Sus scrofa: one gene and its partners. The protein of the gene in region 1 purifies or fractionates together with the protein of each later gene. This does not show direct contact. Links are inferred from orthologs where the notes say so. Each region holds a gene or a part of one and is shown on either strand. Other genes may lie near its edges.

Evidence for each region.
Region 2: the proteins of ZNF704 (region 1) and BTRC purify together in Homo sapiens (affinity purification with mass spectrometry; 3 studies listed by BioGRID and IntAct, counting the BioPlex papers as one, with this or other methods). This does not show direct contact. The link is inferred for Sus scrofa from reciprocal best matches to the Homo sapiens genes ZNF704 and BTRC.
Region 3: the proteins of ZNF704 (region 1) and FBXW11 purify together in Homo sapiens (affinity purification with mass spectrometry; 4 studies listed by BioGRID and IntAct, counting the BioPlex papers as one, with this or other methods). This does not show direct contact. The link is inferred for Sus scrofa from reciprocal best matches to the Homo sapiens genes ZNF704 and FBXW11.

What each region holds. Positions count from the first base shown.
Region 1 is NC_010446.5:55,735,503-55,745,407, forward strand, and holds the start of ZNF704 (zinc finger protein 704), read left to right. Parts: upstream 1-3,528; 5' UTR 3,529-3,646; coding exon 3,647-4,141; intron 4,142-9,905.
Region 2 is NC_010456.5:112,562,381-112,571,787, reverse strand, and holds part of BTRC (F-box/WD repeat-containing protein 1A), read right to left. Parts: intron 8,532-9,407; coding exon 8,435-8,531; intron 7,728-8,434; coding exon 7,590-7,727; intron 7,123-7,589; coding exon 7,004-7,122; intron 5,214-7,003; coding exon 4,964-5,213; intron 4,472-4,963; coding exon 4,353-4,471; intron 2,681-4,352; coding exon 2,570-2,680; intron 1,109-2,569; coding exon 1,030-1,108; intron 1-1,029. UniProt on the Homo sapiens protein: Substrate recognition component of a SCF (SKP1-CUL1-F-box protein) E3 ubiquitin-protein ligase complex which mediates the ubiquitination and subsequent proteasomal degradation of target proteins. Recognizes and binds to phosphorylated target proteins.
Region 3 is NC_010458.4:52,207,811-52,217,903, forward strand, and holds the start of FBXW11 (F-box/WD repeat-containing protein 11), read left to right. Parts: upstream 1-4,590; 5' UTR 4,591-4,995; coding exon 4,996-5,040; intron 5,041-10,093.

The DNA of each region.
Region 1 (9,905 bases):
TGGGCTTTAAAAGCAGGTTCTTGTAGTTACTGATGGTTCTGAGCTTGTTCAAATAGAGCTGCTTTGTTATTCTTTGACAGTACCCACAAACCCCTTCGTTTATGTACCACCATTCATTTAATATAACCAGCCCTTGGAGTTCCTGTTGTGGCTTGGTGGTAATGAACCCAACTAGCATTCATGAGGACTCGGGTTTGATCCCTGGCCTCACTCAATGGGTTAAAGATCTGGCATTGTCATGAGCTATGGTGTAGGTCGCAGAGGCCACTCCGATCTGGGATTGCTATGGCTGTGGTGTAGGGTGGCAGCTGCAGCTCCAATTTGACTCCTACCCTGGGAACTTCCATATGCCATGGGTGCAGGTGCAAAAAGAAAAACAAACACACACACACACACATATATATATATATATGTGTGTGTGTGTGTGTGTGTATACGTGTGTGTGTGTGTGTGTGTGTGTGTGTATGTGTGTGTGTATACAAGCCCTTGTATAGACCTTCCCTGTGGCCAGGCACTTTTCTAAAATGATTACATATATTAACTCATTATCCTACAAAACACGTTTACTGTTAGACAGGTACTACTGGAATTCCCACGTGGCTCATTAGGATAAAGATTCAGCATTGCCATTTCCGTGTCTCGGGTCACTGCTGTGGCACAGGTTCCACTGCTGGCCTGGGAATTTCTGCATGCCGCGGGTGCGACCAAAAAAACCCACAAATAAATAGGTATTGCTATTATTTCCATTTTACAGATGAGGAAACTGAGGCACAGAGAGAGTGACTAATGGTATGAGGCTGGTAAATTCCAGAGCCAAGATTCAGACCCAGGTACTCTGGTTCCCAAGACCATGTGTTTGTTTGCTTGTTTGTTTATTGCTTTTTAGTGCTACACCCATGGCATATGAAGTTCCCAGGCTCGGAGTCAAATCAGAGATACAGCTGCCGGCCCATGCCACAGCCGAAGCAACGTGGGATCCAAGCTGCCACATTTTTGACCTATACCACAGCTCTCAGCAATGCTCGATCCTTAACCCACTGAGCAGAACCTGGGATTGAACCCGTATCTTCATGGATCCTAGTAGGGTTCGTTACCACTGAGCCATGACAGGAACTCCAAGACCATGTGTTTAACCATTAGTCCACTTGACTAACACCTTTGCTCCCCTCTACCACTTTCCCTGTATCTGTCAGCCAATGCTTTTCCTCTGATCTTTATTCTTCCTAGTCAGAGAAAGACCCTATTGCCTTTCTCTAAAATCATATCCCAAACTAACCAAGGTAAATTTCTTGCAGATGAGATGAAACCCTTTCAGTGACCCTCTTCCCTTCTCTGCAAACACTCACTGACACTGATTAGTTTACTTCTTGACTGACCCCTGATGTTCCATGCTTTGATCAAGCACACCCACCTCTTAGGATGCTCAAACCATTTTGTTTTCTCTTTCTAAATTCTGGAATGGAATATTTACCAATGAAAAGTTCAAGGGGAAAATGTCTTGATCTGAATGAAGTTAGGGGAAGATGCATCAGATGGCTGTGTCTGCACAGGGTCGGGGAGGGTGTGTTATTGAGAAACTGGATGTAGAGAGCCTGTTGGAAACTTTCGCTTTTTTTTTTTTTTTTTTTTTTCCTCTTAAGGGCCACACCTGAGGTATATGGAAGTTCCCAGGCTAAGGGTCTAGTTGGAGCTACAGCTGCCATTCTACGCCATAGGCACAGAAACGCTGGATTGGAGCTGCATCTGTGACCTATGCCACAGCTTGCAGCAATGCCAGATCCGTAACCCCCTGAGCAAGGCCAGGGATCAAACCTGCCTCCTCAAGGACACTATGTTGGGTTCTTTACCCGCTGAGCTACAAGGGAACTTCTGAAACTTTCACTTTTGTTGTCATGAAATTTTCGTAGGAGCTTTAGGAATGGAAAGGAAGGGGTGCATTCAAGATGCAGTTCAGAGAGAACAGTGGAGTGGACTTGTGGGGAACTACCTCTAGGAATAAGCTAGAGAAGAGAGTTAACATGATACTGCTATTTTGGGCCCTAATGATTATAATGAGAGTGTCATTAGCCGGATGGGTATATCAGGAAGCTAATCTGATTCAGGGAGAAAAGAAAGTTCATTTTAGAATCTCTGTCACCATCCCAGTGGAAATGTTCAACAGTTGGAAGCCACCCTGAGTGAACATTTAATGAGCTGCCTTCAAGTGTAAGCGTGATGTTAAATCTCCCACAGTCATTACCGTGAGAGGGAGCTGAGGGTGGGGACATCGTTTACACTAGTCTCCTGGAGGCACCTGCCAGAGTATTTGATGAGTGAGATCCTCCTCAGCCCTCACCTACAGAGGTGGAACTTGGCTTGTGATTTCAGTACAAAGAACACCGCTTACGATACAAGCTGTTTGCTTATGTGGCATTAATTACTGTTTGCTAACCCCAAACAATAGCAAATGACTTCTCTTCCTCACACCTAAAAATCCTTAGAAACGGACAATGTCCTTAGTTCTGTGTCCAGCTGGTTATGCGCTTGGTTTCCATACTTGATCATACTTCACATTAATTTTTAAAATAACAACCTCAAGTAATTACTGAGCCGCCCCCTCCCCATCCTGTTTGATTTCTCCAAGGGCCAGTAATCTACACGTTGACTGGTGAGAGCCCACGGCCTTCTTGGAATTTAGTTGTTACAAGCAGGCACTCAAGGTAAAAATGCAGAACGAGAAGCTGCAAGACTTTGCACAGTGCCAAGAGAGCCCAACAGGCAGGGCCTAGAATGGTGTGTTCAAAGCAGGCAATGTCATGAAACAGAACCTCAAACAACCACATGAGTCTGATGATTCATGTTAGGAGCTGACCCCAAATCTCGAGTTGGTACACCGTTGCCGATGTCACATAAGCTCAAGAGTAAATCGCCTTGCCAGGTAGACCATTAAACGACTTGCGGCAAATCTCTCCCTTCAAAGTCAGACTTTGACCAACAACCTTACTTCCCGCGAAGTCGATCCTCCTCCCTCGGAAAGGAATAAGCAGCCACGCGTTAAGCGTGCCCCCCCCCCACGCCCCCCTCCCCGGCTGGGCTGAAGGCTTGGAAACACCCGATTTTCGGAGGCTTTGGGTAGGGGAAATAAATCCAGTCCGGGTTTTGTCTGCACGGGGGGACCGGAGGGCTGCGAGGAATGGCTCGCGAAGAGGGGGGCGGTGGTGGAAAATACACAACACAAACAGCTCGCGCCTGGAGACGGCAGCTGTAGGCCCGGAGCGCGCGGGCCCGGCCGCCGGCCGCATGGAGCGCAGCGCGGCCCGTGGCTCCGGGGCGGCGGCGGCGGCGGCGGCGGCGGCGGAGGCGGCAGCGCGCCGCTCGCTCACACCCACCCCCGCCCGCGGCCGCCGCGCCGCCCCGCCGTAGCCGCCGGCCGCCGGCGTCCCCGCAGGCCGGTCCAGCGAAGGCGGCGCCCGCGTCTCTGCAGCCAGTGGCAGCTGGCGGCCCGGGGAGGCGGCACCCGCAGCCCCCCGCAGCTCCCCGCAGCCCCGCGCCCCGGGCGCCTGCGACCATAGCGGCCGCCCGGGCAGGAAGAGGAGGAGGAGGAGGAGGGGGGAGGTGACAAACTCTCCGGCTCCGCGCGGCGGCGGCCGGCAGCCCGCGGTCAGGCATGCAGGCGCGGCGTCTAGCCAAGCGCTCCAGCCTGGGCAGCCGCCGGGGGAGCGCCGCGCTGCAGCCGCCCGGCCCCGCGTCCGCGCCGGCCCGGGAAGGCGCGCTGCCTGGGCTCCCGCCCCCCGCCCCGGCCCCGGCCCCGGCGCCGGCCCCGGAGAGCTGGAGGCCGCCGCTACCAACGCCGCGCAGCGCCGGGACCGGCCCCCCTCGGGCCGCCGGGGCCGCCGCCGCCTCGTCTCCGGTGCTGCTGCTGCTAGGGGAGGAAGACGAGGACGAGGAAGGCGGGAGCAGGCGGCGGAGGGGGCTCGGGCGGGTGCAGGCAAAGCCCCGAGGGGGAGCGGAGGAGGAGGATGACGACGAGGAAGACGAGGACGAGGAGGTGGTCGTCGAGGTGGTGGACGGCGAAGACGACGACGAGGACGCCGAGGAACGCTTCGTGGCCCTCGGCCCCGGTCGCGCGCTTCCCAAGGGCCCGGCCCGGGGCACATTGAAGGTGCGTGCCGGGTCCGGGGGCGCGCGCGGGACCCACTGGCGCGGGGAGGGCAGGGGCCGGGGGCCCCGGCGCGGTGCGGGCTGAGGCCGGGACCGGCGACCGCAGAGGCCGGGCCCGGAGGGGTGTGTCCGGCGGCGCAGGCGGCCGCGCGGGGCAGAACGAGGGGACTGATGAGCTCACCGCTCGGGCCCCAGCACCTTTCCCGGCGGCCGCTCCCCCTTTCCTCCTGGGCAGGGGCGGCTGCGCTGTCCGGTGTGAGTGCGGGTAAAGGACGCTTCTCCCCGGTGAGGCGGGGAACTTGGAGTTGGGACCAGGTAGGCGCAGGTCTGCGCCGGGACCTGCGGCGGGTGAGGACAGGCGAGGTAGGAGGCAGTGAGAGGGGGTATTCTTCCCTGAGGAAGCCCGAGTGTCCACCTCCTCGTATTCTGAGGGCTAGTCAAGCTCATAGAAACTAGCAAACAGCTTCTCTTGTCAATCTCTCAACCCCGTCTGCATCCAAGAACAATTGTCGGTGAGTTTCCATCACAAGCGCCTGTAAGGGAACCGGTAAACCCAGTACAGCAAAAAGCAAGCCCTGGGTTTGTATCTGCATTTTGTTGGCAGGTTTTGGCAGTACCCGCTACCCCACCACCGCGCGTTTAAACTCGACATTGTTTAGCATTTGGGTTTTTTTCCCCTCTCTTCGACATTGCAGATGAGAGAAAAAGAGGAAATCAGAGAAAGTGTGTGTGTGTGGAAATTGGCATTTAAAATGGATGTGAGTTTCTGTTGAGAATTCTAGAGAAGTCCCTTGTGCACTGAAGCACCGAGAGATCTTTCCGTTTGTGTATCTTCAGGAGATAAGGGGTTTATTATTACACAACTGACTGGCTGGGCTTTCAGGCATGTGATTGGACAAAGCCAACCACGTTGAGGTTCATGCACAGTGTATGTTGCTAAGAAGTTTTGAGGGCAGCAAGTGGTAAGCTATGGAGTGAGCGATTTTTCTGAAGAGTGGTGCCTAAAATCAACAGAATAACTACTAGTTGTTGTATATCAGAAAGAAAAACATAAACAAATGAAGTCAATAGATATAGACTATAAAAAATTGTCAGGGGCTTGCAGAAAAAAAAGTCAGCTCCTCAAAGCATGAAATTGCAGTTGCAAAGAAATGTTAAACATCAGCATTTAGAATAGCCCCAGAGTAGACATGGCACAAATTTCTTTCCTAGACCACCCTGGAAGTACCAGCTCTGGGAGTGAGAAATTTCCAGCCAGTAGTCACTTGGGATGATAGTTTTTGACAGTTGCTTGTTGGAATCCAGACCATGAACACACTCATTACCATGGTCGAATAAAAAGCCTGCATTGTGTCACTGCAGGATATAGCTGGGTTTGGAATTAAGTCACATGGCATTGGTGACATTAAGTAACAAGAGTAGTGACTCCTTAGTATTTTTGTCCAGAAATGCTGAAAAGATGCCTTGTGATTTGAACAGCGGTTGCACAAATTGTGATAAAAAATTAATTATAATTTATGCTCTGTGATCAAAGCAAACCCAATGTAGGAAAAAAAAAAAAAACCACAACCCAAATCTATAAAAACAAAAGAACTAGGGTGTGATAATTCACGCTATCAAAAAAGATTTTTCATATCTCCAAACAAATTGCCCTTAAATTCTTTCAAAATGGGCTTCATTTTATAATGTTTTGCCCATAACTTTTTAGGAATTTATATATTGGGTCATTTGAGGTATAATTTTTACAATCTTTTACTGCTTTAAAACATTCTTGACACTGCATCTAAAGAGGCTTTCTCATGAATAAAACAGGATCATTTTTATTCTTTAATATTTTTTTTGGCCTTGCCCGCAGCATGTGAAGGTGCCCAGGCCAGGGATTGAACCTGTGCCACAGCAGCGACCCAAATGGCTGCAGTGACAATGCTGAGTCCTTAACCTGCTGAGCTACACAGGAACTCCCAGATTCATTTTATTCTAATGCATATGAGCATGTCAATATCTTATGCATATTTATGCATTCATATATTCAAATATTTATTGAGCACCTAGCATGTGCCAGGTACTAGTCTAGAACACAGCAATAAGCACCTTCCAGATGCCTACATCTAGTACGAGGAGCCAGAACAAGTCAGTCAAACAAGCAAATAAATAAGCACGGCACTGGAGATTTCTATGCATGGGATGAGGGAAATCATGGAATCTCAGGGTCTAGGAGGAGAAGGAGAAAGTTAGTAGGGGGAGGGGGACATTTGTTTGTTTCTCTCTCTCTCTCCTTTTTTTTTTTTTTTTTTTTTTTTGCTTTTTAGGGTCACACCCACAGCATATGGAAGTTCCCAGGCTAGGGGTCCAGTGGGTGCTACAGCTGCCAACCTATGCTACACCTACAGCAGTGTGGGTTCTGAGCCTCCTCTGCACCTACACCACAGCTCATGGCAACTTCAGATCCTTGACCCAAAGGATCAAGTGAGGCTAGGGATCAAACCTGCATCCTCATGGATACTAGTTGGATTCGTTTCCACTGCGCCACAAAGGGAACTCCCAAGGAGGGGGAGTGAGGCTAGGGATCAAACCCACATCCTCATGGATACTAGTTGGATTCGTTTCCACTTGCACCACAAAGGGAACTCCCAAGGAGGGGACATTTGTTCTAAGATCAGAGACAGGCAGCTTGGGAAGATCTTTCCAGGCAGAGGGAATAACTATTGCAGATGGCTTGAGGTGGGAAAGAGAAAAGAGTGCGTGTGGCTAGAACTAGATATATGTCAGGGAGGCAGATAAAGGCCAGCAACATGGTCCCTTTTTTTGCTTTTTTTAGGGCCACATCCTCAACATATGGAGGATCCCAGGCTAGGGGTCGAATGTCAGAGCTACAGCTGCCTACCTGTGCCACAGCCACAGCAACGTGGAATCCAAGCCACATCTGCGACCTGCACCAAAGTTCATGGCAATGCCAGTTCCCTGACTCACTGAGCAAGGACAGGGATCAAACCCACATCCTCATGGATAGTAGTCAGATTAGTTTCTGCTATACCAGGAAGGGAACTCCCCACCTCCCCCCCCCCCCCCCCGTTTTTTGGACTGTGCCTGTGGCATGTGGAAGTTCCTGGGCTGGGCTAGGGATTGAACCCACACTGCAGCAGTGACCCAAGGAACTGCAGTGACAATGCTGGATCCATATCCCGCTGTGCCACAAGAGAACTCCCTGGTGGGCCTCCCACCACCCCTCTTTCAGCCACATGGGCAGCGTATGGAAGTTACTGGGCCAAGTATCAAATCCAAGCCAGAGCTGTGACCTATGCCACAGCTACATGGGACCAGGAATTGAACCAGCAACACCACAGAGACAAGTGGGATCATTAACCCACTGTGCCAGAGAGGGAACTCCCTTGGTGGGCCTTTTTAAAGTAGAATATGAAATCCTTGAAAAGTTTTAAGCAGTGAAGACATGCAAAGTGGTTGTTTTTGTTTTCTTTCGCAGTGCCCAGAACATTCAGAAGTTCCTGGGCCAGGGATCAGACCCGAGCCACAGCCATGACAATGCTGGATCCTTTAACCACTAGGTCACCAGGGAACTCCTGCTTTGTATTTTTAATAAAGTTGTATTGTGTAGAGGATAGAGGACAGCAGGGAGAAGCAGGAGGGTCAGTTAGGTGGTGATTGCTGCAGTCCCTGTGAGAGCTGAGGGCAGTTTGGACTAAGAGTGGAGTTAGGAGAGGACAAATTCAGGATCCATTGTGAAGATCTACCTATGATAACTTGCTGATGGATTAGGTGTGTGTGTGTGGGGTGGGATGGGGGCTGGTGACAGAAGAAAGAATTCCGGGATAAGGCCCCGATGTAAAGGTTGGCTAGATGTGTCATTTGCTGAGATTGGGAAAACTGGGAAAATACGGCTGTTTGTGAGGGGAAAAATCAGGTATTCTGTTTGGGGCATGTAAAGTCTGAGATGATGCTTAGACATGCACATGGAAAGTGCAAGTGGGCAGAGGGTGGTAGGCGATGGAGCTGAGAGCAGAGGTTAGGGCTCGAGAGAAAAAGCAGGGAGACACGTAGATGTCATTTAAAGCTGGGGACGGGAAAGTGAGTGTAGCAGGTCGGAGGACAGCCTTGGGCCAGACTCTGGGGCACAGCCTACTTAAGTTTGGGTGTGGGAGGAGAAGCCACTAAAGACGATGGAGACACAGGAGCTAAACAGGTCAGAGGAAAACTGGAAAGTGGAAAATCCACTAAGCCAAGAGAAGAAATCATTACGAAACTGGGGAGTAGTGAACCTTGTCAGGTACCACTGGGATACTGAGTAAGATAAGGATAGAGGCATGCTTATTTGGATGAGATAATATGGAACATATTGGTATCCTTAACAGAAGACTGTGAAGTCACGGATGTGACCTGAGGGGGCTGAGCAGTAATTGGAGGTGAAGGTGTAATGAGACATATAAAAAACTTTCGAGTTCTTTTAAAACTCTCTTGTTGGAAAGGAGAGTAAAGAGAAGGAGGAGAATCTGGAGGGCACATGGTCTGGATTTTTATTTTTAAAGACAGAATACAGTAGACTCTAGTGCAGTGACTACAGCATGGTGTTGTGGTCTGTTTTGGGTGAAGGAAGTGTATTTGCCTTCTATTACTGTGTAGCAAAGTACCACATACTCTTTGGCTTAGGACCAAAGAGTATCTGGGGCTTAGGAGGTTAGAGTCTGGGCCAGGCTTGGCTGGGTCTCCTGCTGAGTCTCACAGGGCAGCCCTCAAGGTGTTAGGGGTGCTGTATTCTTATTGGGAGGCTTGAATGGGGAAGAATTCACTTCTGAGCTCACTCAGGTTGTTTTTTGGAATTCATTCTCTTGCTTTGTAGGTCTGAGGATCCAGCTTCTTGATGCTGGTTACCTGTAGGCTGCCCTCAGCTTCTAGGGCCTCTTTCTCCCACCCCTGTCTCCCCTCCTGCAGGGTGTGGTTACATGGTTTCCTCAACATGACCTCTTCCTTCATCAAGTCAGCCCCTGTCTGCTGGTGAGATGGACATTTAAGGTACCATAACTCTATGGTACCAATATAACTATCATCTTTGCCATATTCTTTTGGTTAGAAGTGAATCCTGGGTTCCACCCACATCTCAGGGGAGGAGATATGCTGCAAGGGTGTGAAAACCAGGAGGTGAGCATCACTGAGGGTCACATGAAGGAGCACCAAAGATGCAGAGAAAGAGAACTGGAGGAGGCAGCTCCTTGGAAAAGTCACAGGGGAGAGTGCCCTGGAACCCAGGTATAGGGACTAGCCTTTAGCAGAAGCAAGGACCCTTTCCCACCTGAATTAGAAGATAGAGAAAGTGAGTCCAGATGTGGGTCATTGGGTGTCGGGTCGTGGTCAGATAAAGTAGCGCTTGTCTGCTGGCTTCTGTTCCCCTCCTGCAAGAGGAGGAAAGACCATCAGCTGTGAGTAAAGGAGATTTGGAGCAGGAGCTGAAGCCAGGAGATCGTACTGTGGGAGAATAGGAGAGCAAACATACCAGGAAAATCAGACAGAGTTGCCAGACAGTATCAAGGGCCCATCTGATGTTTGTGGTTCTACATGTACAGTGTAAGCAGTCTGTCTGGGTATGTGATTTCCCCAACTTCATTCCATTGGCTCAAGCATAGTGTAATAATAACAAAAAGAATCCTAGCTAATGTTCATTAAGTTTTGTAGTTACTATGGCTAGTGCAAGTCTAAGTGTACAGTCTCATTTAACCTTCATCACATACCCCCACATCAGGCATTATTATCGTCAT
Region 2 (9,407 bases), on another chromosome or scaffold:
CTATGATAGGAACTCCACAGATTAATTGTAAATGAAAGAAAGTACATATTTTATAATTGCTTTTTTGGTGTGCAGCAGCCAGATGTGAGATATCAGTTCCTAGACGAGGGACTGAACCCGGGCCAGACCTGTGAAAGCTCTGAATCCTAATCAGGGAACTCCCCTGAAAGTATGCATTTTAAAAACCTATGTGTGAAACATGCAGGTAAATCAGGTCTGGTGCTGAAAGAGTAAGTTTTAAATCCCAACAAGGAAGACAAAGAAATGCACTTCTCTCTTCTCCGGAGCAGAAGAGTTGAGAGTCAGGATTCAGAACATTGGGCTTCAAATGCTAGCTCTCATCTTTTTCCTGAGTTGTGCAAAAGATTCTGTCCTCCCTGGTGCCCCACCTATCTTTTGCTAAAGGAAGCAGCTTTCAACCTTAGGCTATTTTCTGATCTGGGCCTTTGGCTTACTCTTTGATAAAGAACTTGGCACTTTTGAGGTGAAATTCTTACTTCTGAGTCACTTCTTTCCCCAGATGTCAAGATGTTCAGGGAAGGGGAATATTAGAATAAAAGAAACAGGATTCAAATTGCTGGAAGCAGCATGCCTTAAATAGGAAGTGGAACTTGGGGATGACCGGGGGTTCGCGTAGACTCCCATGGCACTTATTGCAGGCACAGGTGTGCAGGTCCTCAGATTCTGGACAGGTTCCAATTTGAGTAATTATGTTCTCTCTACCTAAGTACCCCCTACTGTTTCTGGTGGATACAGAATTCTTATTCACTTCCTGTACTAAACTGTTGTGCAGAGTTGCTGTGCAGCTGTTGAACAGCTGCCACATTCCTCTCCATATACAGTCTCTAAAGTACTTTTGGATGAAAGGCAGCTATATAAACATATTTTATTGTCATGTATTGGTTGCCTTTCCACTTAGTAGTAAGCTTTGTGAAGTTCTAACTATCAAATCCAGATCTGTATTCCACAGCACATCAATGTTAATTTCTTCCTCTTCCTGCTCCCCAAACCAGTGAACAAGGCTCTTACCACAAGGGTCCGAAGACAGAGAGTTCCTGCAGGAGCACGGGGATCCAAAGCAGCTATAAGATCCCACACTTTAATTTTTCTAAACATCAAAAAGGGGACAAAAAACTTAGTTAAAAGAAAAATTAGAACACAGGAAGAATAGCAAAAAGTCATGACAATCAATATGCACACTGAAGACAGTTTATGATAAACGTAGCTCACAGGAATATACAAAAACTTTTTTGTTTTGGAGACTCGGTTCTTGCATTCATTCTTAGGTAGAGCTTATTGGTCTTAAAAGGGGAAAATGTACATGACTGACCTAAAAACAAGAAACAGGTTGGCTTTAACCAAACTGAAGATAGTGAATGGTAAAGTTATACCATACTCTATGGCCAAGAGGAGATCTTATATATTAGAACTCTCCATGATATGAGAGTTCACTTAGACCAATAAACCTACAACCTAGGCATTTTTCTTCTGGTCAATTCTAAGAATGGCCCAAGTCACCTGTGCCAGAGGACTGGGGTCCATTTAAGAGCTCTGGAGTTTATATAAGCAAATTCTCCTATTTTGATTTAAGTAAGAAAGGTTTACCCCTTCTGAAAATCAATTATAGGTCATGTCTCCTCAAGGTTAAGTAACAGACAAAACCCAAGAAAACGTGGGTATAGATCAAAACCAGAGCAATGAAAAAATACAACCTTGGACTTAGCTGGGACATGTTATCATACCCTGAACAATTAATTCCCCAAGGGTATGACAGTGCTGGCTGACTCAAAGGAAGTGGGATTGTTAACACTTACTGCTGTCTGAGTTGTCTTTATCAATATAGCCAGCTCATAAACTGAGATAACATTTTAAATTAGTTTCTAATATTTAACAAAGCTGCCAATATTTGAACTGTGGCCTTCTACTCCCCTAAATCAGGCATCCTGAAGAGAAGAAATGATAGAGAGCATTTCATAAGTGAACATACTTTTATAAGAATTTACTCTGTGCATATTAGCATTGCTGGACATGGGATCTATCCACAACATGAATGGACTCTATAACCACTGGAAATCAGACCGAAGGAAAAGAAGAATTACTGAACTCATTGTGAATAAAATGCTAGGTAGTAAAGACAAGAGAGCTATACTTTAGAAATCACTCAAAGGGATAAAATTTCAAGACCCTACAATCCTAAGCCCCCTCAAAGATACTATCTGCCAACATTTCAGTTTTATTAATAAGTCACTATTTTTACATGCTTATGCTGATATACTGGGTTTATCTGGCTCTTCGCTTTATAGGGCAAAACAGACAAATATATAATAACGACCCCCCCCAAATATTAATGAAAATCATGAGCAAAAAAGTACAATTAAACGATTGGGAAGAATATTTTGGAAAAGAGTAAACAAAGGAGAGCTGAATATACAAAAGACATAGGAAATACTGTATCAGACTCTTTCTGTGATATCTGTAATCTTTTAGAGATGAGGAAGGCTATATTAAATGTCCTCAGGCAGGAGGGATTAAGAAGTAGATGCTTTTACAACCCTTTTGGCAAACTCACCCATCATAGGCTCCACTGACTATCCTCTTATTATCAAATCGAATACAGCGCACCAATTCCTCATGGCCTTCTAATACTCGTAAGCATGCACCACATTCTATGTCCCATAATCTTAAAGAGAAAATTGAATCAAGGAAATTTTCATGTATTCTTTCCTAAGTTTGGAATGTTATAATAACATACTTCATATATCTTTTTAAACAATCCACACTCATAATACACAAATTTATTGCTTTTAATGTAATTTATTTCCTTTCTGCCATATAACTTGGGCAGAAATATGTACAATTTAATTCAAATATGTAGTATACATTTTCAAAGCATCAAGCCTTATATAATTCTGTAATCAGGGTCATAAAGAAATATAGAGGATGATGCTGCGAGTGCGGCCCTAATATTTAATAAAATTTTAAAAAAGACAAAAAAATATATAGAGGATGAATTCAATGTATACAGTTGCCTATGAAGGAAACAGCTAAGCACAGAAAATAATGTTTCCTGAAATCAAAGTTAATAAGAATGAAACACCCGAAGCTCCTACTGCAGCTCAGAGGATTAAGAATCCGACATAGTGTCTAGTGTCTACGAGGATGTGTGTTGGATCCCTGTCCTACCTCAGCAGATTAAGGATCCGGCATTGTTGTGAGCTGTGGCATAGGTTGCAGATGTGGCCAGGATCCTGCATTGCTGGGGCTGTGGTGTAGACCAGCAGCTACAGCTCCGATTCAACCCTTAGCTTGGGAACTTCCATATGCTACAGATGCTCTGTAAACAGGAAAAAAAAAAAAAAAAAGAAGAAGAAGAAAAAAGAAACACAGTATCAGTGACATCCTTCTCTCACAACGTATGTCCACCTCTGTCACTGAGGACACTCTCTGCTTTTGTCCTCTATCTAGGACAGTTTTTCTCATCTAATGAAATTGCAAAGTTCTCAAAAAGTTTTATATGCTAATTTAAATTGTATGCTTTGTGACTAATTCCAATGATTTCTAGGAATGATAATTCCCTTAGATATAACAATAGCTCTGCTATTTTTTCAATGGTCTTTTCATTCCCTTAGTACTTCTTTGGAGGGGAGAGGGCTGATGAATCTTCCAAATTCTTATGTGTGTCATTCATCTTCCTGAAGGGAAAACACCAAAAGACACTTCAATTTGTGGATTCTTCATAATTTCAAAGACTGGTAACTCCTTGGTCAGTTAGGCAATGCTAAGCAAACAAAATGTGCCATTTCTAATAGGGAAACATCTTTTTACTTTTTTTAAGAACAGTGAAAAAGAGAAAAGGTCTTTAGCTATTTATTATTACTTTTCAACTGTAGACAGGAGAAATTTAAAGAGAAAGTCCTCCATTTTAATCTCTCTCGCCCACTTCTTCATTCAAACAGTACCTTTCATTTTTTATTTTTAGGTTTTTTTTGGCTGCGCCTATGGCATGTGGAAGTTCCCAGACCAGGAATTGAACCCACGCCATAGCAGCCACCCAAGTCACTGCAGTGAAAATGCCAGATCCTTAATCCAGTGTGCCACAAGAGAACTCCCAGCAGTACTTTTTAAATAGGTCTATCCGGTGATAAAACTATTATAGGGAGGAAACACATCAACAAAAGGCTTTGCTGTGCTTCCTCTCTGCTTGGGGCAAACTTTTGACCTGTACAAAGCTACAGAAAGGAAAAACATTTTATCATAAACATTACACAGTTGGAGATTTGTTTGATCTGTGTGCAAACAATGAATGGCAGGATAATACTGATCCCTTCTGGGCAAGGGCACTTGCTGCTCACCTGATAGTGTTGTCAGATGAGCCACTCACAACCAGCCTATCTCTGTACTGCAAACAGGCAATTCCACGTTTGTGTCCATTTAAGGTCCGTACAAATTCACAAGTACTTGTGTTCCATACCTAAAACAAAAATAGCACTTGGCAGTTGATTTGGTGCTTTTACTAGTAAAATCTATGGCAAAATGGAGCCTTAGGAAAGCAGAAAAATAGAACTGGACTAATAGGGGGAATTTAACTTCTCAAACCAATCCAAATCAAATCAAAAACTGACAGGTTTAATTAAAAGTAACAAAGGGCTAATTTGTAGCTGGCCGCTATTACATGAGAATTCCTCAAACTAACATACTCTGATGGGGTTAGTCTGGTCTTGCAGACTAATTCTTGAACCTAAATTTACCCTTGTCTTTTTCATACTCAGCATTATTTACAGGAATAAAATACCTAACCAAAATTGTCACACAACTTCTCTCTCATTACCTTTTACACATAAACTAGTATCTGATTTAAATATTAAGTATTCTACAGAGATGGTTAGACACTCTGCCCTTGATCAGATTTCCATATGAACTCCCCTATTTCAAGCTGGGGACTTATTAAAAAAGGCCTTATTACCTTTATAGTCCTGTCCCCAGATGCAGAAACGATGTACTTGTCATCAAAGTCCACAACATTGACTGCAGCTCGGTGTCCAACAAGTACCCTCCGGAGGGTGATGTCAGTTGGGGAGGCCATATCCCATACCGCAATGGAACGGTCTTTGGAGCAGGTCACCATCATGCCATTATTGAAACGCAAGTGCAGAACAGCTTCACAATGGTGAATCAATGTGTTTAGCATTTCACCTGTATTTACATCCCACACCCTGGAACAAACAGCATTAAGATCATCTGAGATTGCAGTGGTCCTCAAGCTACAATCCATTACACCCCTCCCATGCTAATCTCATAGTTAGGGTTGCACCCTACTCTCCTTTTGCAGCTTTGAGATTAAGCTGCGGTAAAGTGCACTGATGGAGCATGGGGAAGTGGTACACAGACGACTGGACTGTGAGAGTGGGAAGAGGAAGGGGATGGGATGCTGCCAGTGTGAAATCCTTAAGATACACAACTTGGAAATCTGTGCTAGTTGTTTGGGGGCAGGAATGAGCCTGCAGCCACAGTCACCAGCTAATTGGCCCCAGACTTCGAGATGACTATAAAGCTTCTGACACTCAATCTGTTAGAAAAATTTAAAATTTAAGAAATACACGCATATATGTATTTTTGCCTGCACCCATGGCATGAAGAAGTTCCCAGGCCAGGGATCGAATCTGAGCCACAGCAATGACAATGCCGAATCCTTAACCAATAGGCCATGAGGGAACTCCACAATCTGATATATTTAATTAATAACTGCAGCACTGGTGGTCCCAAGAGGCAGCCCTCAGGTCTTAGAACAGATAGAGGCCAAGAAACTTCTCTAACAGATGACTCAGTACTATGGATCTGAGCTTGACGACTCTGGATCTTGGTTTTTACCACACAGGTCAAGGCCTAAGATTACCTAGACCCTAAATCTAAGGCCCCATTTCTGTGTCTTAAATGAGGGTAGGTATCAAGAATGGCCACCCCAATATATATATAGGTTTCGCAGCAGAGGGCAGGACCCTTGAATAGCTTGAGACTGCTGTGTGAGGATATATTTTGCTTTGACCACTCTACTTCTGTACGTTTACTTTGGTTTTACTAACACATTTTATTTCTTTTTCCAGTTTAACCCCCTCTTTCAGGAAATCATTTTTTCCCTTATCCTAGAAATGATGTTAGCTTCTATTAACTTTCAGCTTCCTTGAGGCACTCCATAAGCATCAATAAATGTTAAATGTTGATAACTCTAAGAACTGAGTCTGCTATGCCTTTAAGTCAAAAGACAAGAAAAAGAAATGGCCTTTTCTATTTACAGAGGATAACTTGGAAGGTAAACTTTTAACTTCAGAGAATCTAACAATGCAGTTAACTGCTTTTTTTTTTTTTTTCTATTTTTTTAAAGTTACTTTTGATGCATTATGTTTGCTAAACCCTTTAGCTCAAGGCAAAATTCCTAACAGAGGTTTCCAGCAGTGCTGCTGGTACCCAGAACTCAAGCTACACTGGACTCCAGCAGCATAATGGCTGTGTCATCAAATTACTAATGCCTCTGGAAATTGAAGCCCCCTCCCTGAGTGAAGCCTGCAATTAAAAACTGCAGGGACAGCAGGGGAGGGGCTGGCAAAGAGAGAGTACTGCTCACCTGTACACATTTTAAAGGAGATAATGCGTGCCTGCACTATAGCTATAACCACCTGAAAGGAAGGCTCCATTCCACTCATGTCATTCCCCTGTGAGGTGGTTTTTGTAAGAAATGCAAGGTTTACCACGTTTCTATAAGAGATGATTCCCCCAAATTAAAACAGAATATATAGTTTCTTAAATGTGCAGAAATGTAAACTTATCATAACCATTCCTAAATCAAGTTTTCTAGTTCTAGATTAACACAACTATGGAGGGAGCTGATGGTTTATTCTTTAGTTATAAAGTTTTCGAACTATGTTCATGCACATATATACAAAATTACTAAGACAGAATAGAGTACACCTGACATTTCAGAGTTCTAAAGATTATTGAAATTTTCTACCTGACTGTGGAATCCGACGATCCAGTTATGATCACCCTCTCATCATACTGGAGACACAGGACAGAACCTGTGTGGCCTGTGAGAATTCGCTTGCATTCCAATGTGCTTTTATCCCAGATCTAGGATGGCAAACAAGATCCTTTTGATCACTATGATAATGGGGTGCTGCAGAGACTTGCTGGCTCTATTTTGTGTTTGAGTCCCCAAAAGAATCAAAGCCCAGAGTAGTGTGGAATGCATTCTTCTCTATAGGTATAGCGAAGCACCTATATATATGTGGCTTCAGTACTAATGCAGACTTGATCCTTTTCATTAAGGAAACAGGGGTAGCCTATAATTATGTGAGGGCCAAAAGACTAATAGCCCATTCAGGGCACTTCAAGAAGAGAATTTAACCTTAGCACTACCCATTTGCATGTGTTTCTGTGGGTAAGCAGGTACTTTTCCTTAAAGGAAACGATTTTTGGCTTTGGGACTCTCACTTACTTTCTGGAAATACTGCTTAGAGTTTATGCTTTGGATTGCTTTAGGGATTGTAGTCCCCCTCACCCCTTCAGCCACCTTCCCATAACTGAAGAGACCTCACCTTGATTGTGTTGTCTCGAAGGCCACTTACTATCTTCTGATCATCATACTGTAAACAGTAGACTCCTTTGCTCGTTTCACTTCGGCAGTGGATTCTCTGTAAGCTATGTCTTCCACATCGCCAATTAGATTCTATCGTCTGAGAGGAAGGAATGGGTAAAGAAGCTGTAATTAGTTTTAGGGAACTAAACTCTCATCTGAATTTCATGGCAACCTATGACAAATGCTCAGTGCTCTACTCTACTGGATACACAGAACTTAACACATACTAAAAATGTAAAAACTTTCTTATTTTTAAAAATCTTTGGCCATGCCCACGGCATGTGGCAGTTCCTGGGCTAGGGATCGAACCTGAGCCACAGCAGTGACCCAAGCCACTGCAATGACAACACCAGATCCTTAACCTGCTGCACCGCAAGAGAACTCCCTAAAGATATTTTTAAAAAGCCACTATTTAAAGTTGTAAAATATTTTGCCACTTGCTATGACTCATATGAGGTTACCTGCTCAGTGCTCATCTTACATTTGTGGTAGCCATTTCTACCAGTGAGCTTCCACAGAGGCTCAATTCAGAAGATATTTGAATGACAGCTTATAAGTGCAACTTCAACAGTTTTAAAGCTATTATCATACTCTCTTTCATGTATTTATCAGTGAATAACTTAAAAGCTTTAAAATTTTGCTTGGCAATTTACTATATTTTATCTTCCCTATTCACTTGTGAAGAAACTGATTTTTAACCCACATCAATAAACCTTAATGGGTTTGCTATAACACTGCTGTTACTGAAGAATGTTGATGATTCTCTAGTATTTGGCAAATGCCCAAATATACATATATTCTTACCTCAATGTCTTGTATAATTTTAGGATAAAGTGCTCTATAAAAAGAGTTGGGAGGAGCATTCCCATCAGGAGGTTTGTTTTTGAATAAATACTGTCCCCTAAAAAACAAATATTTCCCAATAAAAATCATATTATACATTTACAAGGAACTTCATATTTCTTTAAAGTGTTTTCACAGTTACCATTCCATATAATCTGTAGTTATAATCTCCAGAGAGGTATGAAGTTAAGCTTGATGTCAGGAGTCCCACATCAGGAGGAACTCTCTGGGCTCAAATGATTTGTTTTTGGATAAAACATGATGATTTCCAATGCGGAACATCAGAGTGTCAGGTCTTCGGAAACATTATGTCAATAGACAAATGGAATGCTTATGGTCAGAATTCACCTACTGGTCTAATAAGATCTCTGTAATTGGCCTTATCTTTGAAAATTTTGTTAGTGATGATACTACCATCTTTGAACTAGGAACATGCCCCACAGCCTTTTTTCCACTGAGTAAAGCTGTGCCAGTGTCAGTTGGAGCCAGCATCATGGGCAGCAGGAATGCCTCTGCCACAAAGATCACATTTTCTAGTCTTTGTTTATGTAGGGTAAAGTGTGTTGGCAGTTCAGGCACCCGGGCTGCTGATCAGTGTAGCTATGCTTTAAAAGGAGCAATTTTGACAGAAAACAAAGGGATCACAGGAGAGGCCAGTGGCAAGTAGGAAAGCAGATAAAAAAAAAAAAAAAAAAGAAATGCCTATGAGCACTGTGCTGTCAAGTCTAAGGCATGAAATTGACTTTCACAGGTGTGTTTCTGGCTCTGTACACACATACATGGATTTTACTGCCTTTCCTTGATTCCAGTGAGCAACATTTGTTAGCATCTCCTTCCTCATGACAGCACATCTCTGGAATACTCATATCCCAAGCTAGATCTTTGCTACAAAAAAAAATCAGTAAATGGCAATCACTTCCTGCTGGGTAAAAAA
Region 3 (10,093 bases), on another chromosome or scaffold:
ACCATGCTGTGGGCGTGGCCATAAAAAGCAAAAAAGAAAAAAAGAAAAGAAAAAAAAAAGAAAAAATACACATGCCAATAAATTAATTGAGGAAATGTTTTTCCTTATGTATTTTAAATGCATTTTCCTAGAAATTGTGAAACTAAAGATTTACCTCATCTAACACTTATTATTGGCACTATCAAAACAGCCAAGTAAGACTCTCAGAAAAGTCTACCTTTCTCAGTTCATAAATATGCTCACATGTATTTCGTAACTGCCTTCCCACCCCCCTGACCCTGGATTCTATAGATGGATGGATAAGGCATGAAACCTTGTCAAAGGGGGCTGCCACCTTCAATACTTTTTTTTTTTTTTAAGGCCTCACCTGCGGTACATGGACATTCCCAGGCTAGGGGTCTAATGGGAGCTGTAGCCATTGGCCTATGCCACAGCCACAGCAATGCTGGATCCTTAAGCCACTGAGAGAGGCCAGGGACTGAACCTGCAACCTCATGGTTCCTAGTCGGATTCGTTAACCACTGAGCCATGATGAGAACTCCTTCAATACTTCTTAACAACATTCTCTTTCCTTTGGTTTCACAAGATTCTCCCTCAAGAGACTTTCATTCTCTGATGTTAGTTGGGAATGAGTCAACATTTCACTGCACTATCCTCTTCTAAAACAATCTGAATTCAGAAAACTCAGCACAGGTCAAAACATACTATTTTAAAATGCTGCTCTTTACCTTCAAAAGTATTCATAAAAAAGGGAAAGACACAAAGCTCTATCAAGGGTTTACAGGGCCTAGATTAAAAGAGAACTGCGTTCAGTATTTTGAACGAGCTCTTTTTTGGGGCGGGTACCTTTATTAGTTGTCTATTGCTGTGTAAAAAAAAAAAAACCTCAAAATTTGTCAGGTTAAAATGACAATTGTTTATTATCTCACACAGTCTCTGTGGGTCAGGGATCCAAGAGTAGCTTGGATGGGTGATCCTGGCTCAGGATCTCTCATGAGGTTAAGAACTGAATGGGGCTACTGTCATCTGAAGGACTGACTGGGGCAGGATGGCTCACTCATAGGCCTGGAAAGTTAGTGCTGATTGTTGGCAGGTGGCCTCAGTTCCTCACCACATGGACATCCCATAGGGCTGCTCAAGTGTCATCATGACACGGCAGCTTGCTTCCTCCAGAGCGAGTAACCCGAGGGAGAGAGCAAAGAGGAACCCACAAGTCTATGATCCAGTCTTGGAGGTCACATACTCTCACATCTGCCACTCTCTCTTTTGAGAAAATTTAAATATTAACTGGTAACAGGTATTAAGTACTAAGGGGTAAAGACAAGTCTAAAGGATACAGAAATAATCGTTACAGGGAATAGCCACTACGTATAGGGTGAGGCTGAATACTCAAGGAAGGACAATTTTGAAAGAGCCTTCTCACCTCCACTGTTAGCTTGGATTCAGACTTCACTAGAAAGAGGACAGTTATGGCCTGTTGGATGGTGAAGTGTGTGTGCGCTGAGAGAGGGATAACAGTTCTGCAGACTATTTGCTGCCGTGTGCCACCACAAGGGCAAGAAGGAAAAGAAAATATTCTGGAATGAGGAAAAGAAGACTCTTCATTTGGCTGCTTCCCTCTAGGTCTCTGTATTGACAGCAGTCAACACTGTGCCAGCTGGCAGGGGAGAAATACTTACAGGGCCCTACTCCAGTATTTCAAAGAATGGAAAAGAAGGGTGGATTTGGAACTGAGAGGCTATAAATTGATAGTAGGCACACATATGCTCTGCTGCAGAAAATCAATGTATGTGATTATAAAATGCTGACCTAGAACCCACTGGGGGTGTTACATTATATATATAGTATGTGCATCATACAGCCTTTGTACAATCGCAACAGTTCTGAATTCTGAGCATATCTGGACTTCAGGTTTTTGGTTCAGGGATTGTAGACCTGTACCAGCTTTCTTTTTTGTTAGCTATCTGTGTAGAGCTATCTGAAAAATAGAGGGAACATATGCCTCAAGGTCTTCTGCCTTTATAGATGACCAAATCTAATCACCAGCTGGCATCAAGCTTGAGTCAATAAAAATACCTGAGCACCTGAGATCTTGTTTGAGACAAGGAGAGAACAAAGTGATAAGCCTGCCTCTTCAACAGCTTGGGAACAACTTCTGTCCTATATAATAACTTTTTCATCTCACTGAGCTCCTGGAGTTTGACCCAATAATATTAGTATTTTCTCCTCTTAAGGTGGGATATGGTTTTAATAAAAGGACAGAAACCTTGAGTTATCTCCATTACAGTCCCATTGCCAAGGGTTGCAAGCTCAAATATCTATATGGATTCAGCATACAAGTTAAATGAGTAAAGACAACAGGGAGCTGTGGTAACAGTGGCAATCTATAGCGTACATGCTTTGAACAAAGAAGGTAATTGCTACTTAACTTCTGCATATTTTTGCCATGCAGATCTGATAGTCGAATAGTCTAACTTTCCAAGAGAAGTTAGAAATTCAGATTTTAAAATGTGAAACTATCAAATTTTGAAACAATAAAAAAGACAGTGCAGGATAAACAGACACATGGAGGGGTTCATATTCAGCTGTGACTCCTATCCTAATCTCAGCTGCTAGGTCCTGTGACAAGTGCTGGCCCTTAAAGGCCCTGATTACTGTTACACTGGGGGCCCCCAATGCACGACGACTCTCTGTATTCACAACCTTGTGTAGACCCTTCCACCCCGACTCTGGGCTTGGCCATATGGCTTGTTTTGGCCAGTGACACACTAACAACTGTGGTGCAACCAGAGGCTTGATAAGTATTTGCTCAACGGGGTTTGTCCTCTTGGAAGTTAGTCACCATGCAGAAGCCTGAACGGTAAAAAGTCAGGTAAAGAGAGAGGCCCTGGAGGATGAGGAAGCTGTTTTGATGAGCTCCCAGCTGACTGCAGTCTCATGAGTAATCTCGGCTTATACTACGTGGGACCAGCTGAGTCCAGTTAACCCACACAATTGCAAAGAATAAGAAAGCACTGTTATTTTAAACTTCTAAGTCTTAGAGGTAGTTTATGATGATGCAATAGGTAGCTGAAATAGAGGTCATTTATTCCAATCCCTTTATTTAACTAATGAATGTCTCAAAGCCTAGAGAGGCAAAGGGGTCTGGTGAAATTCAGACACCATGTTAGGAATAATAGCTTTTTAATTCTGTGTTCTTCCTATTGCTTTTCTTTCAATTCCCTAAGTAGAAAGCATCGGATAAGGGCCATTAAACTTAAAACTGTATTGAACAGAACTTACACTGTGTCCTGCATGCATACAAATTACTGTAGCAATTCGGTGCTTGGAAATGGAAAGACTTAGAGGTCATCTAGTCCCTTCCCTTTACAGGTGCAGAAAATGCAAAACACTTGAGAAAGAGAACAGTAGCCTTTGACATTTGGCAGCTGGCCTGATACAATCAAACAGGCAGTAATGTTACTAGATGATAGCCTGGTCCTCTTAGCTAGGCCTCGTGTTTTCTTGTTGAACCTAATTTCATAGAACATAAATGTTAGACAAAGCCATTCTATGGCCATGATAGACCAATACAAAAGCGAAACCACTCCTAATTAAATCTGAACACAGATCAAACAGGGACATTGTTCAAACCACAAAAAATGACCAAATAGCCCTTATTCTGGTAATGAGGGACTCCTGCTTCTCTACCAATCAGGACTTCAGCCTCGTCTAGTAGTCCTTCCGTCTAGATAACATTTACTGAGATGCCCAATCATAAAATTACCTCCACTTTCTGACAGCATCTTATCCAGGGTAAAGTCCCACTTTCTTAAACCCTCATCCAAATCACCTGACAACTCCTCCTGAGATGCCCCACAGTTCTTCATGGTGTGTGTTCTCTCTCTCTGCAACCAGCAATAAACCCAACCTGTTAATTCTCAGCGGGCCTTTGTCGTCTTTGGTTTGAGGTTACTGACAGACCTGATAAGGTTTATACCGAGCTGGAGGCAGAATTCACTGGGCATCTCCAGCTGTGTTCCTTCTTATGGTTAATGTCTGTCTTCCCCCTACCAGAATTACGCTGCGTGAGAAGAGAAGCCTTGTCTGTAGGGATCAGAGCTGATTCCCAGGGCCTAGGCTAGTGACGAGCAGAGGCTGGAAGTTTAAAAGATACTTTCTAAACGAATGAATAATAGGTTCTCTTTCACCTCTCAGTTCCTCCCAGTACGTGGTGCACAGAGACCACAAAACTCCTCTTTCTCAACTAAATTTCCAAACCCCTCTTGGGACGCCACTCTTGGGACGCCCATGCTCTCAGAGCCTCCTTCTCTGCCCGAGCTCTCTCGCTCGCTGGCCCCCCTCCGACACTTGAGCCCCAAGACCATCCCTTCCTAGAACCCACCTGTCGCCAACACCTCACCCTGCCACAGAGGCCAGACCAACCGTGCCGTTACTTAGGTGTCGAGCGGGCACTGCAGGCACAGACCGCGCATGTGCGGAAATCGGTCGCGCACGCAGGATCGCTGGCAAGTGAAGAGTTGCCTTGGAGTTTCCGTCCGGGTCCGGGGAGCCTCGGGCTGCCAGGAAGTCAGAAGAAACTAGCCGGAAAGAGAACCCGCGCGCAGGGCTTTCTGGGATATGTAGTAGGCGCGCACCTGAAGCCCCACCTTGAGGAAGCCCGTAATTCTTTAGGTCTGCACGTCTCTCATTCGCAGTCCCGTGCTACTTTCGGCTGAGAATTCAGCTTCGGACGGCTAGGAGAGATTGGTCTGGCGGGGTCTTCTCGTTCCCACAACGCTCTGCGGGACCCGCGGCGCCTGCCGGGAGCTGTAGTCCTCGCTCTGCGTACTGCGTTCGCCGAGGGGGAGGGCGGAGCTGCCGGCGGCCCGGGCGGGCTGGCAGCTAGAGTGGGTGCGATAGCCGCCTCCGCCTCTGCCGCCTCCGCCGTCGCCTCCTCCGCCCGGGCCGTTCGCTGCTGCGCGGGGAGAGCGAGGCGGGGCCGCCAGGGCCGCCATGGAGCCCGACTCGGTGATTGAGGACAAGACCATCGAGCTCATGGTGAGTGCGGCCCGCTGGACCGTCCGTTCTTCCGTCCGTCCGGCCCCGGGCGGGCCTGCCCATCTCAACGTCCGGCGCGAGGCCGGCCCTGGCCCTTCCCCGCTGCCTCGGCCCGAACCTGGGCCCTCCGGCCCGGCGCGCTTTACTCCGGATCCCTCGAGATCTCAGGCCGGACCTGGTCCGGCCCCCTCCATGCCCCTCGGTTTTCCTCCCTCCCTCCCTTCTCTCCTGTCTCTGGGCCCATCCCTGGAACGACCCTCGCTCGCTTGTGCTGTGGCCTTAGCTCACACTCGCTCAAGCATCTCCTTCCTCCCTTAGAAGGGGTTTTCTGTTTTTTCTTTTTCTAATTCTCCGGCCAGGCCTGCATCGCTCTTGCAAGCCCCACTCAGGCCGAGTGAGATGGTGATGGGAGGGGGTACAGAGAAGATCGACCTGGGGTCTCGGCCTCTGCGTCCTAGAAGGGGTCTCTCAGCACCCTCTTCTCAAGCCAGGGCTGTGTGGATGCCGGCATAGGCCCTACAGGGGTGGAGGTGGGGAGCTCTCGGGTTTGAGGCTGTGACCGATAAGGGGCCTCTTTCCTGGGCCCCTGTGGTGTCCGGCTTCTCGGACAAAGGGTTTCCTACCCGGCCGAGAGGGATGTTTGGATAGCGAGGCCCCAGGTACTCTGGATTCCATCTCCCAGGAAAGAGACACTGTAACTTCACGTTTTCCAGAGCCGCTCTGGGAAATTGGGGAGGGGGAAGAGGGCTTGTCCTCATCTGCGCCGCCAGTTCTTTCTTCTAGAAAAGGAGTAGGAGAGAATCCTAGGCCCCTGGGAAATCGATCACTCTTCTGTTAGAAACCTTTGGTACCCAGGCCAGACCCTCTGGCCCCACGAATCCCAACCCCCCCTCCGCCTTGGGACTTGGAGCCTAAGGTTTTTAGAAACAGGGCCACGAGAGAGTGGCTAGTAGAAACGAAGAACTTGCTCTTTGGTGGATGACTTGGTGGAAGAAATAAAATATGATAGCTATTACCTGCCAATTGGAATACTAGGGAAATCAAACTGGGCTCTGGAGAGCTGGGAGGGGAAGCTCTTTGCCTCAGCAAATGGACAGGCCCAGGCTTTCTTCCTGTGGAAATCTTGACAGTTTCTTTGTATCTCTTCTAATACAGTAACAACTTCTACTCTAAGGTTGAGAGGAAAGGTGAAAGAATCTACTTAACACAGCAAAACGTTTTCCTAGCCAGATTTTCTCCAGTGTGAAAATGTTTATTGAGTCAGTGATTCCACTGGGTAGGGTCGGTGACATCAGAGCCACTTCCCCCATTTAATGCTATAAATAATAAATGGTGACATTGAAAGTCTGTTGGATAGCTGCATGGTGTCTGTGGATGATGGTATCTGGGGAGTTGAGGTGCATGTTTTAAAAATGGAAGTACAGTAGCATAAATATGGAGGCAGCTTAATATTTGCTGTCCTTTGCATAATTCACTAGACTTCTTCAGCAGTCTTGAAAACTAGAGGGGAAAAAAAGCTCTGGTAGTTTCTGGGGTGTGTGTGTGCGTGCGCGCACTGGTGTGGTTGCTTTCTAAGGGATACTGTCACCATAAGTTTGATTTTCATTTATTAAGTAATTTATTAAGTAATTTTTCCTTTCAGTAAAGTTTATCAAACTTTTGTAATCAAGCCTTTGATAATCTGCAAATTTTGTAAGGGGTTATTTTAGTAAAATATCTTAACTGGAATTGCATATATAGTATATATGCTTACATGTATGTGTAATACATGTATTTACAACAGGAGTGCTTCATATCGAAAATTGTAACTTGGGGGGAGTTCTCGTCGTGGCGCAGTGGTTAACGAATCCGACTAGGAACCATGAGGTTGCGGGTTCGATCCCTGCCCTTGCTCAGTGGATTAAGGATCCGGCGTTGCCGTGAGCTGTGGTGTAGGTCGCAGACACGGCTCGGATCCAGCATTGCTGTGGCTCTGGCGTAGGCTGGCAGCTACAGCTCCAATTAGACCCCTAGCCTGGGAATCTCCCATATGCCGCGGGAGCGGCCCAAGAAATGGCAAAAAGACAAAAAAAAAAAAAAAAGAAAAAGAAAATTGTAACTTGGTACCTCTTTGAAAGTGTTCAGTGCTCCTTCCATTTACATGCCATTAAAACAATAACTAAAATGTCTTTATTTTGAAGAGAATTAGAAATGAATACAGTGTAATCCATTTAGTGTTTTGAGTGGATGTAGAAAAAAAAAAATCTCTGACCTAAATATACTGGTTTCCTATGCTTATAAATTGAAAAAGTTTTGATTTTACATAATTGTGTCTGTGATCTGAAAAGATATTTCAGCTCTTTCAAGGGCTTTACAAACTGGGATTCTTAAGATAGTTTAACAAAAAAATTTAACAGCTATCTAGATCAATTTTAAAATGCCTTTTCATATATGGATTTTGATACTCCCTCAAAGAGCTACCAGTTAAGACTCTTAGGCAATCCTTTTGATGAACATTTGTGTGTTTATTTTAGTGTAGTAGATAGCACAGGTACTTAACAACCACTTTACTGAATCCCGGATCAGATGTAGGAATGATAATGCTTTAAAATCCAATTGCATGTGGCTTTCTGTATTCATTGCATTTTCATTACAGTTTCCAAAACTAGGTTAAGAAAAAAAATTTTTTTACATTGGTTTCAAAATAATATGATGAAAGGAGGGGAAGGGGTTAAACTGGTGGTATTTTGAAAGCCTAAAGCATGAAATATTTTTAGATTTTTATGAGTCAGCTTCAGTATTCAAATATTTGTGATTGTGCGGCCTGTACCAGTTCGGTACTTAATGGTTAACAGGATAACTTTCATTTCATATTCCAGAGTGTGCTATATCAAAGGAAGGAAGCAGACTTCTTGGGTTTTACCAGTTTCTTAACCTTCCTCCCTCTACTTTCTTTGATTATGGTTCTTTCTCCCTTTTTTCCTTGTGCTTTTTTAGTTTACTAGGAAATAAAACTGGTGATAGCAGAATAATTAAATCTTCAAAATATAACCTCCATTGTGACTCCTACCCTGGTCTGCGGCCAGGTCCACAAAAAGCTTCTCCAGCTGACCTCCCTCATAGGGTTCAGTCTTTTTTGTTTGTTTGTTTGTTTGTCTTTTTGTATTTTTCTAGGGCCGCACCCACGGCAAATGGAGGTTCCCAGGCTAGGGGTCTAATCAGAGCTGTAGCCTTCACTAGAAGCCACAGCAATGCGGGATCCGAGCCTCATCTGCGACTTACACCACAGCTCACGGCAATGCCAGATCCCCAAACTACTGGGTGAGGCCAGGGATCGAACCCACAACCTCATGGTTCCTAGTTGGATTCGTTAACCACTGAGCCATGACGGGAACTCCGGATTCAGTCTTTAATATAGACAATAAATTCTGGATCGAGACAACTGAATTTATGCTTGCTGATGGTGAATAATTAACTACCGCATGTCTTTCACGGCCTTATATGGCCCTAACACTGTACCTAGTTTGTGGGACTGTTTTTCAAACTGCCAATTTTGATAAAATTAGCTTTATTTATCCACAAGGTAGAAAAGTAGTAATCCATTTGGAAATACACTAAGAAAAGTTCCCCAGGCTTTGTCTAATGTGCTAGACCTCCCTGGAAAGAAGGAAAACCTTTCGTTGTGTATCACATGATATTTAACACTTGAGTTGGAAATATGAGTTGATGTTCAGGCACATATTACTAGAAAGCACTCACAGAGCTGCTAATGGAAGAGAAAGCTTAGTCCTACCTGTTAGAAGATAGAAGTTGATGTAAAAATTTAGGAAAGATAATCCTGCTTCTGGGGTGGGTGCGTGCGAGCGTACCCCTCCCCCCTCCTTTAGTCAAGCAATGAGCACTTTGTACTCTATTGTTAGCTGCTGAATGGCTCCCCCTCTTTGCTAAGTGACCTTAAGTGAGTCATTTCCCTTCTCTGTTTTCTCTGAGGGGTTATGTTACTAGGTGAACATAGTAAAGGAGGGAAAATACAATTGGACTTTATTAAGAAGGTTTAATAATCACTTCTATTTTTACAGCTATCAGAGCACAGACTGGCCACAAGGCCAAGGAGATGAAGGAAACGAAGTGATTTATTGGAAATAGTTATCTTCTTTTACTTTTTGATCCCCCCCCCCTTCTTGTCATTGGCTTTCTAAGTGGAGTAAGTGGGATTGTCAAGTGACTTTAAGCAGTTGGGTCTTCCTTTGTCACCATCACTTATCTGCATCTGCCTCTGGCCATGTGCTGAGATACCAAATGCAGTTAAATAGACAAAGGTTTAAGTAGGGTCCCAATGAAATAAATTACATATTTTATAGGCCTCACTGACCTGCTTCAGGATACTGTCTCAAATATTTTCAATTTTTACCCAGTTTTGGAGTAGGTTAGATGTCCTTTCAGATTTGACCAGGATAAACATGATATTCCTCAGAAGAGTTGGCTTCTAACTGCTGTACCCGGAAAACTGAGAGCACTGTATCCCCCAGGAGCATCACTGGCGTGTTCCATAGGTTTACGGAATAGCACACATTTCCCTCTGAGCACTACTGTTTGGTCCTATGAATTTTGGAAAAACTTTTCTGCACTGTGAGGTACCTGGAGTCTAGGGAAAGAAAGTGTTTCAAGCACTCCAGTTCCATCCTGCCTTCCAGCTTTTTCTTCCCACATTCCTCACTTACTCTGTACTCCAGCCAAAGCAAGGAGGACTATGGTTCTTCCGATTCTGCTCAGTGTTTCCTTTGTCAGCATGAACATGAAGCCCAGGTAGCAAAGGCTTCTGAAGTTTAATGGAAGGACCTAAGTAAGAGTTGGCTCTCTGGCCAAATTGGTTTTGGGCACATCTCAAGAATCTTCTCTTCCACCTATGCTGATAAAGTCCTATCCCCTAAGAACACAATTTAGATGCCTCCTCTTTTTGATGTCAGTTTGTATTATGGTGGCAGATAGCATTTTGTTTTTATATCTTTAGTACTGCTTACACGATAATCATTGTTAAACGAAATGAATGACTTCTGGCACTTTGTATTTATCT